Linked DNA regions of Callithrix jacchus. The protein of the gene in region 1 purifies or fractionates together with the protein of each later gene. This does not show direct contact. Links are inferred from orthologs where the notes say so. Each region holds a gene or a part of one and is shown on either strand. Other genes may lie near its edges.

What was found.
Region 2: the proteins of ZNF830 (region 1) and PPIE purify together in Homo sapiens (affinity purification with mass spectrometry; 3 studies listed by BioGRID and IntAct, counting the BioPlex papers as one, with this or other methods). This does not show direct contact. The link is inferred for Callithrix jacchus from reciprocal best matches to the Homo sapiens genes ZNF830 and PPIE.
Region 3: the proteins of ZNF830 (region 1) and PPIL2 purify together in Homo sapiens (co-immunoprecipitation; 4 studies listed by BioGRID and IntAct, counting the BioPlex papers as one, with this or other methods). This does not show direct contact. The link is inferred for Callithrix jacchus from reciprocal best matches to the Homo sapiens genes ZNF830 and PPIL2.

Annotation. Positions count from the first base shown.
Region 1 is NC_133506.1:99,202,415-99,206,157, reverse strand, and holds ZNF830 (zinc finger protein 830), read left to right. Parts: upstream 1-1,504; 5' UTR 1,505-1,531; coding exon 1,532-2,647; 3' UTR 2,648-3,146; downstream 3,147-3,743.
Region 2 is NC_133508.1:76,298,841-76,302,448, forward strand, and holds part of PPIE (peptidyl-prolyl cis-trans isomerase E), read left to right. Parts: intron 1-1,470; coding exon 1,471-1,594; intron 1,595-3,608. UniProt on the Homo sapiens protein: Involved in pre-mRNA splicing as component of the spliceosome. Combines RNA-binding and PPIase activities.
Region 3 is NC_133502.1:193,655,575-193,659,182, reverse strand, and holds part of PPIL2 (RING-type E3 ubiquitin-protein ligase PPIL2), read right to left. Parts: intron 2,480-3,608; coding exon 2,404-2,479; intron 2,060-2,403; coding exon 1,953-2,059; intron 1,231-1,952; coding exon 1,141-1,230; intron 815-1,140; coding exon 781-814; intron 196-780; coding exon 78-195; intron 1-77. UniProt on the Homo sapiens protein: Has a ubiquitin-protein ligase activity acting as an E3 ubiquitin protein ligase or as an ubiquitin-ubiquitin ligase promoting elongation of ubiquitin chains on substrates.

The sequences.
Region 1 (3,743 bases):
TCATCATCTCTACCCTGGATGACATCCAGATATCTCCAAACTTGAATATACCCTCCTATATCCTCCACACATTTTTCTTTCTAAAAGGCAATGTGATTCAGTCAGTTCCCTGATCAAAAGTCCTCCAATGATTTTTATGTTTTCCAACATTTTCAAGTTAAAATCCAAACATAGCAATGGCATACTTGACCTTTCCCAATCTGGTTTATGTCTGTCTTCCCTGCCTCATCTGCTTTCTTACGAGCAAATCTTCTAGTTCCCTTAATACACCGTGTTTTGTTTTGTTACTGTTGGATTTGCATCCTTGGTCTCTCTTATTCCTGAAATTACCCTCTGCCCAGAAGGCCTTTACTCCCTCTTCCAACTAGTGAACTCTTATTCTTCTTTCAAGACTCTGATAAAACATTGTTAGTTAAGAAGCTTTTCCTTCTGCCATCAGTAATTAGTCCCTTTCCTCAGCATAATCATATGCATCTGTATGTAATTAGCACATCCGACTCTACATCTCTACCACACCTTTTTTAGGACAGAAACTGTATCTTGATCATTTCTGCGTCCCAGTAGCTAGTACCTAAGTGACTTCTTCTACCATTAATATTAATTTATTTTGTTCATTACTATGACAGTGTGTCTCTCCACTTATACCCTTTTGCCCTCACTGGTTTCTTTTCCTCACTCTTGTCTAGAGAAAATGGTGCTTAATATATATTGAAAAGATAAATAGATATGAAGAACCATAGGCACGGGAACTTGGATTTGATCCCATGCCACCTTCCTGGCTCTAAACCCTGTGCCCTCTCCACTGCAATACATTACCATACAAAAAAACAAAAATAACTACCTGTTGAATGTATGGGCTAAGGGCATGCAGTTTTAAAGAGCAGAGGAGTTAAATGCTTTATATTTTCAATGAGACACTAAATTAACTGACTTTCTAACTGCATGTGAACCTTGAGGAAAAGTGGGGGGTCAGGGGGTGTCATAGCTTCACCCCTTGGACCTTCTATTAAGGGAGGCTTTATTCCTCCACCCGCACCAGATGAGAGATACCCTCAGGTCAGGGATGAGAATGAGGGAAACCAAGCTCGCAAGAACATCCACATCGCTCCGTGGACGCCTGCCTCAGAGGGCGCCAGGACACCCAACAAGCCCCCAGCCGCCTAACGGCCGCTCCAACCGCCGTCTCACATTTTCATGGTGCCTTTAGGACCCAAGTTGGTCCTCAGCACATGCTGCAGCCCTCGGGCGGCGCATATATTGACGGCCAAGGCAGCCTGTGCCCGCGCCACCTCAGCCTTGGAGTTTACGGCCTTTATCGCAGCCATAGCCTAATCGCTCAGGGCGAAAACAACACACGCACACGCACACGCACACACATGACTTAGTGGCGATTCTAAGCAAAAACCCGAACGCCACGCCACGCCACGCCACGCTCACTTGAGCCTCGGCCAATCACCGCCCTTAAAAAAAAAGTGACGTTATCATACCTCGCCGGACGGAAGCCGGACTCGCTTTGGGTCTGGTCGCCAAGATGGCGTTCTCCGCCTCCGCTGGGACTCCGGCTGGGAAGCGAGTGGTAAATCAGGAAGAACTGCGGCGGTTAATGAAGGAGAAGCAGCGTCTGAGCACTAATCGGAAACGGATAGAATCTCCGTTCGCTAAGTACAACCGTTTGGGACAGCTGAGTTGTGTCCTGTGTAACACGCCTGTTAAGAGTGAGCTTCTGTGGCAGACTCACGTCCTGGGAAAGCAGCACCGAGAGAAAGTGGCCGAGCTGAAAGGCGCGAAGGAAACCAGCCAGGGTCCGTCAGCCAGCTCAGCGCCTCAGTCCGTCAAGAGGAAAGCGCCAGACGCAGACGGCCAAGATGCCAAGAGAACGAAGGCCACCTTGGTGCCTCAGGTACAGCCCTCCACATCTGCGTTGCCCACCAACTTTGACAAAATAGGAAAGGAGTCCATTAGAGCGACTCCCAGTAAGCCTTCAGGACTCAGTTTACTCCCCGATTATGAAGATGAGGAGGAGGAGGAAGAGGAAGAAGGAGGTGGAGAAAGAAAAAGCGGGGACGCCAGCAAGTTGCTGTCCGACGCACAGGGCAAGGAACACTCAGTTTCCTCTTCGCGGGAGGTAACAAGTAGTGTGCTGCCGGACGATTTCTTTAATAATAATCCTCCCAAGGCCCCCATAATTCCTCATTCAGGGTCAATTGAGAAAGCAGAAATCCATGAAAAGGTGGTGGAAAGGAGAGAAAACACCGCGGAAGCGTTACCGGAAGGTTTTTTTGACGACCCTGAGGTAGATGCAAGAGTACGAAAGGTTGATGCCCCTAAAGATCAGATGGACAAAGAGTGGGACGAATTTCAAAAAGCCATGAGGCAGGTCAACACTATTTCCGAAGCCATAGTTGCCGAAGAGGATGAGGAGGGACGGCTGGACCGTCAGATTGGGGAGATCGATGAGCAGATAGAGTGTTACCGACGGGTGGAAAAGCTACGGAATCGCCAGGATGAAATAAAAAATAAACTTAAAGAAATCCTGACCATAAAAGAATTGCAGAAAAAGGAAGAAGAGAATGCTGACAGCGATGATGAGGGGGAACTACAGGACTTGTTGTCTCAGGATTGGAGGGTGAAAGGGGCATTGTTATAAAGTTTTAAAGACCTAAGGTTTCTAACAGCCTCTGCTATTGTATAAAAAGTGCTGTCTCAATAGCTTATCGGTTACACGCCTAGAGATTTGGGCACCTGGATCGCTAACTGTATTGTTGAGATAAAATGAGCTACAGCACTTTGGTAAATTTGTATACAATGTTTTTGAAGTAAAGTTTTTGAAATTTCTTAAGTGTTATATACCAAAATGCCAACTTTTCCACAATAGGCCTAACAGTATCATTTTGTTGTAAAATCTGTAAATTGTAAATATTGTACGTAGTTAAATCTATATTAAGTAATTCCGTTTTGAATTTTTTTAATTAATAGAAGTCAGATTAACCGGCAGACTTTTAGATGAATGCTTAATGTGGTATTTGAGATGTATCTTCTTCTGAACCCTAAATCAAGTTGAAAAGTTTGGTTTTCTTGTTTCTTTGGTTTTTGTTTGTTTTTTTTAGAACACTTCATAAATACATAAGTCATTGTAGGTTAATCAATTCTCTTAGTATGCTGGGTTTTTTTTTTAAACATCGAGAAAAATATATGCCAAACATGATCAGCCTCCCTAAACCAAAGTTTCTCTTGACTAGACCCGTGATGGTCAGATGTGGTTGCACGGAGAATCACCTATGAGGCATTAAAATAAATTCAAGAGCTTGAGGCCTTCCCCTTCAAAAAATCAGAGATGGGGCCCAGGCAACTGTTTTTTAAAGCTCCCAGGTTATTCTAATATATGCCAAAGTTGGAGGGTGCCCTAAATCCAGAACCCATTTATATTTTTCAGGTTTTTATTTAACACATTCCATAAATTTGCTGTTTCTTGAATGAAGGAAATATTATCTTTTATTTATTTCATCCAGTCTTAAATTTCATTATCTTTAGTAGATTAGGGTCTTTATTTGCAGGTCCTATCTGTTGTAGAAAGAATATGTAAGTTGTGTTTCCAGCAGTAACAATTGGCTCTTGCTGGTCATTGATAGTTTAAAGGACTCCTTCCTTTAGAGATTGAGGTATTGAAATAAGAAAAGGGAATTTACGGTTCCTGGAGTAAAAATGCATACAGCATATCCAAATAAAAGTGAGCAGTAATAATA
Region 2 (3,608 bases), on another chromosome or scaffold:
AGTAGAGATGGGGTTTCACCATGTTGACCAGGATGGTCTTGATCTCTTGACCTCGTGATCCACCTGCCTCAGCCTCCCAAAGTGCTGGGATTACAGGCGTGAGCCACCGCGCCCGGCCTTTTTTAAGTTTAATGGAAATTTGCAAATACACATACCAAAGTGGAGGGAATGAATAATGAATTCTTAGGACTTTGGTAAAGTCAGTATTGAGTGAATGCAAGGGCAAAGCTTTGGGTCTCTCATCCACATTGTGTTCTCTGTGATGAACATCTCAGCTCTGCTCATGTATGGATTTGTGATTATCAGCTGATGGGGAGAAAGCTGAGGTGCCCCTCTTCATCCTTTCTGATCAGTCCCCCTCCTTCACTGAGGAGTTTGGCACGAGGTTCATGGTCTTCTTATTCCTGTGCTAATGCAGGGGTGAAAGGATAGGGTAGTGCCACCTTCCTTCACCCTGTACATGGGTTCACAGTGCTCTAGTCCTAAGAGAACCTGCCAGGGCACTTCCCCCTGATTCTCAGCATAGGTCTCTGACAGTTGCTTCTTGGACTTCCCCTCCTCCGGGTACCTTGTGAGTGTTGTCATTCTTCTGTATTTCTTTGTTGGCTCATGGTTTCGCTCTTTTCTCTCAGCTGAAACAGTAGCAGTCAGTCTGTAATTTTATGCAGCCTCTCTTATGCTGTTGACCTTCATGTTCTGTTTCTAGTCCTGAGCTTCAGATATTTCTGCCTGCAAGTCTCATAGGCAGCCTAAGTTTGCCTAAAATGGATCCCCTCCTTCTCTAATCCTGTCTTCTGTGATCTCAGTCTTGGCTAATTTGCTACCATTCATCCACACATTGGCCCAAGCCAAAAATTTGGATGGAAAGCAGAACTCATAACGTGGCCATCGCACTCGAGTCCCCCTGGATCACCCTGTATCCGCTGCTTAGTCTTATCTACTTGGAGCACAAAGCAAGGCCCAGCATCCTCCACTGTCTTCTGAGCACTTAGATCTGAGCAAGAGGGCTGCCCCCTTGCTTCCGTGTAGCCAGCCAGCATATGTGCAGGGCCAAGCATAGAGGGAGGAGGTGGTGGGACATGGTCTGCCTAACTAGAGGACAGTGTGTGGGCTGGAACTGCCATTTGAAGATGTTGACAGTTGTGTATCATAGGCCAGAAAAGCACTGTTCTGTGACTGTAAAGCAAGAGGAGGAAACCGATGCTTCTGAGGGCAAGCCTGATGAGATAACATGCCTGTGTATGGGGCTCAGGTTAGCCAGTACTGAGGTCTCCTGTTGCTGGGCATCCAGCTGGGCGCTACGGCTGTGGCTCCTGCCTCCTGCAGCCCTGTCAAGGCCAAGGCCTTCCCTGTCAGCACTTGCTCCAGCCTGCTCATTGGAGCTGTGTTCTGGGTGGGTGTATAGAATACTAAGCTCCTACTTGGGGCATCAGGGAGCTCTCTCTAACTAGCAATTTCTTCTGCACCTAGGGAGAGCCTGCTGCTAAAAAGGCCCGGTCAAATCCTCAGGTGTACATGGACATTAAGATTGGGAACAAGCCGGCCGGCCGCATCCAGATGCTCCTGCGTTCCGACGTTGTGCCCATGACAGCAGGTGAGCGGGACGCTGGTGGCTGAGCAGTGAGCCTTTCCCAGGTGCTTGCCACTTTACTTCTTGTGCCCTCAATATTGCTTCTGACCTAAGTTGATTTGAAGCATCTCAGATCCTGGGATCTAGTAACAGATGAGTCAGAACAGGTGTTTTTGAAGCTTTATAAGTGCTGACTTACTACCTTTTAATAATCATTTTTTAAAAATACAAGTAAATATTATATTCTTTTTTAAAAAAAAGAATACCATACACATATATTCCAATAATAATTAAGACAATAAACTGAAAACTTAAGTTGTTTTTCCCCCTCAACATCCAGTCCTAAATTCTAGAAGTAGCTAGTGCTTTTACTGAGTATTCTTTGTAACTTATTAAATATTGACTCTATTTATTCTCTTTTTAATCTAAATTTTATTATTATCTAGACATATAAAGAGTCAATTCAACTTCACAAAGCTTGTTTTGGAAAAACAGTCGTCCCCTGGTGTGTCCCTATGCCCTGCTGCCAGCGCCATTTGCTGTTCCTCCGAGGAGCCGATTTCAACTCTTAGGTCTTTTGATTTTTATTTCCGTGTTGATAGATAACAGGTTTATATTTCTACTTGCTGTTTTCCGTTTTAAGCATTATCTTCTGATTTTCTACTTCAGAGGACGAGGAATTAGTTTTTAAAATTCCCCTTCTCTGGCCCCTCATCTTCCTTGTATAGGTACTATAATTTTTGTTAGGTCCTAAATTATTTTAACAATGTAGACACCATGTGATAACTTCCTTTCATGCACAGCATTTTGTTTTGCCTGGAATTGATAATTGCCTTGTTTGTGCAGTTTTCGATGTAATCAATCCTGATTTTCTCCCAGATTATCCTGCTGGGGCCTTTGCATCCAGGTGTCTGCATCTTGTTAGGCAGAGATGAGGGCAGGGCTGAATGCCACAACATTCGGTATATCAACTTTCATGTAATCTCCACTTGTCGTTATATACCTCAGCCCTCACTACATGTAGGATATCCTAGTGCAAAGAGCCCCTGCTTTAACCTACCAAAGACTAGACCCCCAGCTGGCTACCAGGTGGAGGAGGGTGGCCCCCAGCTGCAGAGTCAGGGAGAGGAGCCCAAGGATTAACCACTTTCTTATACAGGCTTTCAGCCAAACTTACTATCTCCAGGATTACCTGCACCTGTTTCTCTGAGATTTTGGAGTGCAAACTGAGTTGCTTCTTGGCTTTTACCAGCTTAAGATTCAGCTTTCTTGGGACTGCTTTATCATTTAGGGCTCATCTATTTGTTTTCTAACTTCAGAAATTTTTGTTGCTATTGTCTCTTCCTCCCCGCTTTTTAAGTTTTAAAGTGTACAGTTTGTTAGCATTAATTATGTTCACACTATCACTGTTTGAAATTTTTTAATCACCCTAAACAAAGCCTCTTATTTTATTCTTTGAGATGGAGTCTCACTCTGTTACCCAGGCTGGAGTGCAATGGCACGATCTCAGCTCACTGCAGCCTCTACCTCCCAGGTTCAAGCGATTCTCCTGCCTCAGCCTCCTGAGTAGGTGGGATTACAGGCATACACCACCATGCCTGGCTAATTTTTGTCTTTTTAGTAGAGACGGGGTTTCACCATGTTTGTCAGGCTGGTCTCAAACTCCTGACTTGTGATCTGCTTCCTTGGCCTCCCAAAGTGCTGGGATTACAGGCATTAGCCACGGTGCCCAGCCCAAAACCTCTTATTATTAGAGGTACCTATTAAACAATAACTCCCCATTTTCATCTCCCCTTAGCTTCTGATAACCTCTAATCTTTGTGTCTATGAATTGGCCTATCCTAGATTTTCCAAATAAGTGGAATCATACAATAGTTATCCTTTTTCATGTCTTATTTTGCATAACATAATGGTTTCAAGGTTCATCCATTACCATTTATCAGTGCTGCATACCTTTTTATCGCTGAATAATAATTCTGTTATATTTGGAATAAATATCTTGTTTACTCATTTATTGATTGATACTTGCACATTGTTT
Region 3 (3,608 bases), on another chromosome or scaffold:
CCCGCAGGGAGCACCAGGTCACCTCCCCGGCCACCCCAGTCAGCCCCAGTCAGCCCCAGTCAGCCCGGCCAACTCACAATTGAGACTTGTTGCTGTTGGGTCCTGAGTTGGCCATGCTGAGGATGCCACGGCCCGTGTGCGAGAGGTTGGGCCGGAACTCATCTTTGAAGGGCTTCCCCCAGTACGACTCCCCGCCTGGAAGAGAAAGACCCACAGGAACAGGAAGGCCTGGGCCCCAGCCAAGGCAGAACCAGAAACCTCAGAGTCCCAAGGGGCATCAGGGCCTTGCTGAGCCCAACCTGGGGCATAGGCACTTGATAAGGTGGTCCCCAGCCCCACATCACCAACTCCTGGGCCCCTTGGAGCCCCCATGCCTCCACACAGGCAGGCTGCTGCCCACTCACCCCAGGTGAGTGGGTCCTGCCCCAGGACAGGGATTAAAGGGTCAAGGCCACCATCCTCATCACTCGAGCTATGGGAGTACGGAGATGGGAGGGCCTGGGCCCAAGCAGCTGCAGGCTGAGGAGCTTCAAGAGGCTGCAGGTGGAAGGCCTGGCCTCCAGGGGCCCAGAGAGGATGCCACACATGCCTGCATCCTCTACTATGCAGGCCTCACAGCCACCCGGAAATGAGAAAGCCAAGAGCCAGTCCTGAGAGGGCACAACACTGATGGCTGCCAGTCGTTCCACCCTGGTCTAGCGGATTCCACAGCCCAGCTACCCCCTCATGCCCCAAGGAGCAGCCAACGTGCCCAAAGAGGGGCCCAGCACCAGTACCTACCTGTGCCTGTGCCTGTGGGGTCACCCCCTTGGATCTGTGAGAACAAAAACCAATGTGCAAGTCACACCTCGAGACCTAAGCCCACCACCTGCCCAACCAAAGGAGATCCCTCCTGCCAGATGGCTCCTCACAGGGCCTGGGCTCCTGACAAGGACGAGGGGCCCTCCCAGCCACCTCCCTGTATGAACCCAGTTCTGGATGGGCTGGAGTCTGGAGAGACAGCCTGTGCATTCCCCAACAGAGGATCACCGACTGACCACACTGTGGTCTCAGGGCCCTGGGTCAGGGCAGGGACAAGCCTACCCAGACCCTGATGTCCCACCAAGCACATCTGTGCAGCCAGTGACTCGCGTCACTCACCACGAAGTTCCGGATGGATCTGTGGAAGATGGTGCCATCGTAATAATGCTTTTTGCAAAGCCTGATGAAGTTTTCGCAGGTTTTTGGTGTCTGCAACATAGTCCCGATGCATGTATGAAGCAGAGAGCGGCCAAAGGCAGCTCACCACAGCCACAGGAGGCCCTTTTTTTTTTTTTTTGAGAGGGAGTCTTGCTTTGTCACCAGGCTGGAGTGCAGTAGTGTGATCTCGGCTCACTGCAACTTCTACCTCCCAGGTTCATGTGATTCTCCTGCCTCAGCCTCCCACTCTAGCCAGGACTACAGGCTTGCGCCACCAGGCCTAGTTAATTTTTGCATTTTTAGTAGACAGGCTTTTACCATGTTGGCCAGACTAGTCTCGAACTCCTAAGCTCAAGTGATCCACATACGTTGACCTCCTAAAGTGCTGGGATTACAGGCATGAGCCACCGTGCCCAGCCAGGACGCCTTTAACATCCAGCAGTCAGCTGCCCAGCCACACCGGGCAAGGATGGACCCACAACACCAAGCAGCAGAACCTGCGCAGCCGCATGGCCCAGAGCAGAGCGCACGGGAGAAGTGCAGGCAGAGCAGCGGGTGTGGCCTGGTCCCTTCTCTGGGACACTGGCACCTGTGCACAGGGCAACACAGCCCCCTAGGAAGGACACAGGGCACCGCTGTGGGTCCCGCCTAGTGACAGGCTGAGTTTTTTTTACAAGCACATACCAGTGGCAGCCCTATATTGAAGACATGGCTGTCAAATGACCCCAGAAATGACCTCGGGACACGGGGAGGGAGCGGGCCACCACACCCACCAGGTCACAGTGCAGCTCCAGGTTGAGATCGCCCCTGTTGGTGTGCAACCGCACATAGCCCTTCTTCCTCACAAACTGGTAGCGGAGCACGTCCTCGTCAATGGCAGCTACAAGCAGAGGTCCCAGCTCAGCCCCTGCCCTCGCCCTGGGGGCGCCCCACGGTGCCAGGTAACACGGGCCAAAGACACAGAGGCATCTGGCCAAGGACTAGGTTCCAGCTCTGGAAAGAGCACGGGAGCCAGAGGCCAAAGTCTTCTGCTCGGGCCATGCACAGGCTCACCCCAGCCTCATGGGCCTGACAGGGGCTCAGCAGCTAAGAGGGGGAGGACTGGAGACTCAGGTGTCCATGGGAGCCCCTGACAGGCCAAAAGAGTGGGAATCAGGGGAGGGCACCCACCCCCTGCCACTGTCAGGTCACATGGCAGGTGTCTGCAGAGGCAAAGGTGGTTACCTGCTTCGTGTGTGGTCTCTGGAACCATTGCAGTGGAGGTAAAGGAAGCGCTGACCTTCCCTGTGGAATAGTGGGCCTGCCAAGGAAACCAGGGTGGCACCTCAGCAGTGCCATGGGAGGCTGATGGGCAAAAATGTGGTGCCTGCCTAGAAGCCAACCACACCCCACCCCTGACCCCCAGGCCCTGCTCAGTGCTTCTCCTCCAGCAGGGCCTCCCTGACTGGCGGGAGGAAGGAGGACAGGCCGAGCCAGGGGCCCCTGGCCTCAACCGGGTCCCGACTCAGGACGTTAAGTAAAACCCTGTAGATAAAATACCACACAGGACCTCAGGGTTAGGAGTGTATGAGTGAGTTCTCATTTCTTTTTTTTATGAGATAATGTCTTGCTGTGTACCCAGGCTGTAGTGCTGGGGTGTGATCCTGGCGCACTGCAGCCTCCAAATCCTGGGCTCAAGTGACCCCCCCCCTACACCTCAGCCTCCTGAGTAACTGGGACGACAGGTGTGTGCCACCATGCCTGGCTGATTTTTGGGGGTTTTTTGTAGAGGTAAGGTCTCACTATGTTGTCCAAGCTAGTCTCGAACTCCTGGCCTCAAGCAATCCTCCTGCATCAGCCTCCCAAAATACTGGGATTGCAGGCCTGAGCCACCATGCCTGGACTCACTTCTTTACTTATTTATTAACTTATTAATTTTTGAGACGGAGTTTCACTCTTGTTGCCCAGGCTAGAGTGCAATGGTGCCATCTCTGCTCACAGCAACCTCTGCCTCCCAGGTTTAAGCGACTCTCCTGCCTCAGCCTCCAGAGTAGCTGGGATTACAGACATGTGCCACCACGCCCTGCTAATTTTGTATTTTCCGTAGGGACAGGGTTTCTCCATGTTGGTCAGGCTGGTCTTAAAACTCCCAACCTCAGGTGACCCACCCACCTCGGCCTCCCAAAGTGCTAGGATTACAAGCATGAGCTTGTACCCGGCCTGGCCTAACTTCTTTTTAAAAGTCTCAAACTTTCTGAAGTAAACACATTACATATTTAATCAGGGGTGGGGGGGTAAAGTCCCAATAAATGTTGTTTTTTTATCACAGAGGAAGAAAAAGGGGTTTCTTTCATCAGAAGAAAATATAAGCCAGGCACAGTGGCTCACATCTATAATCCCAGCGCTTTGGGAGGCCCAGGCAGGAGGATCTCAGGTGAAGCTGGAATTCA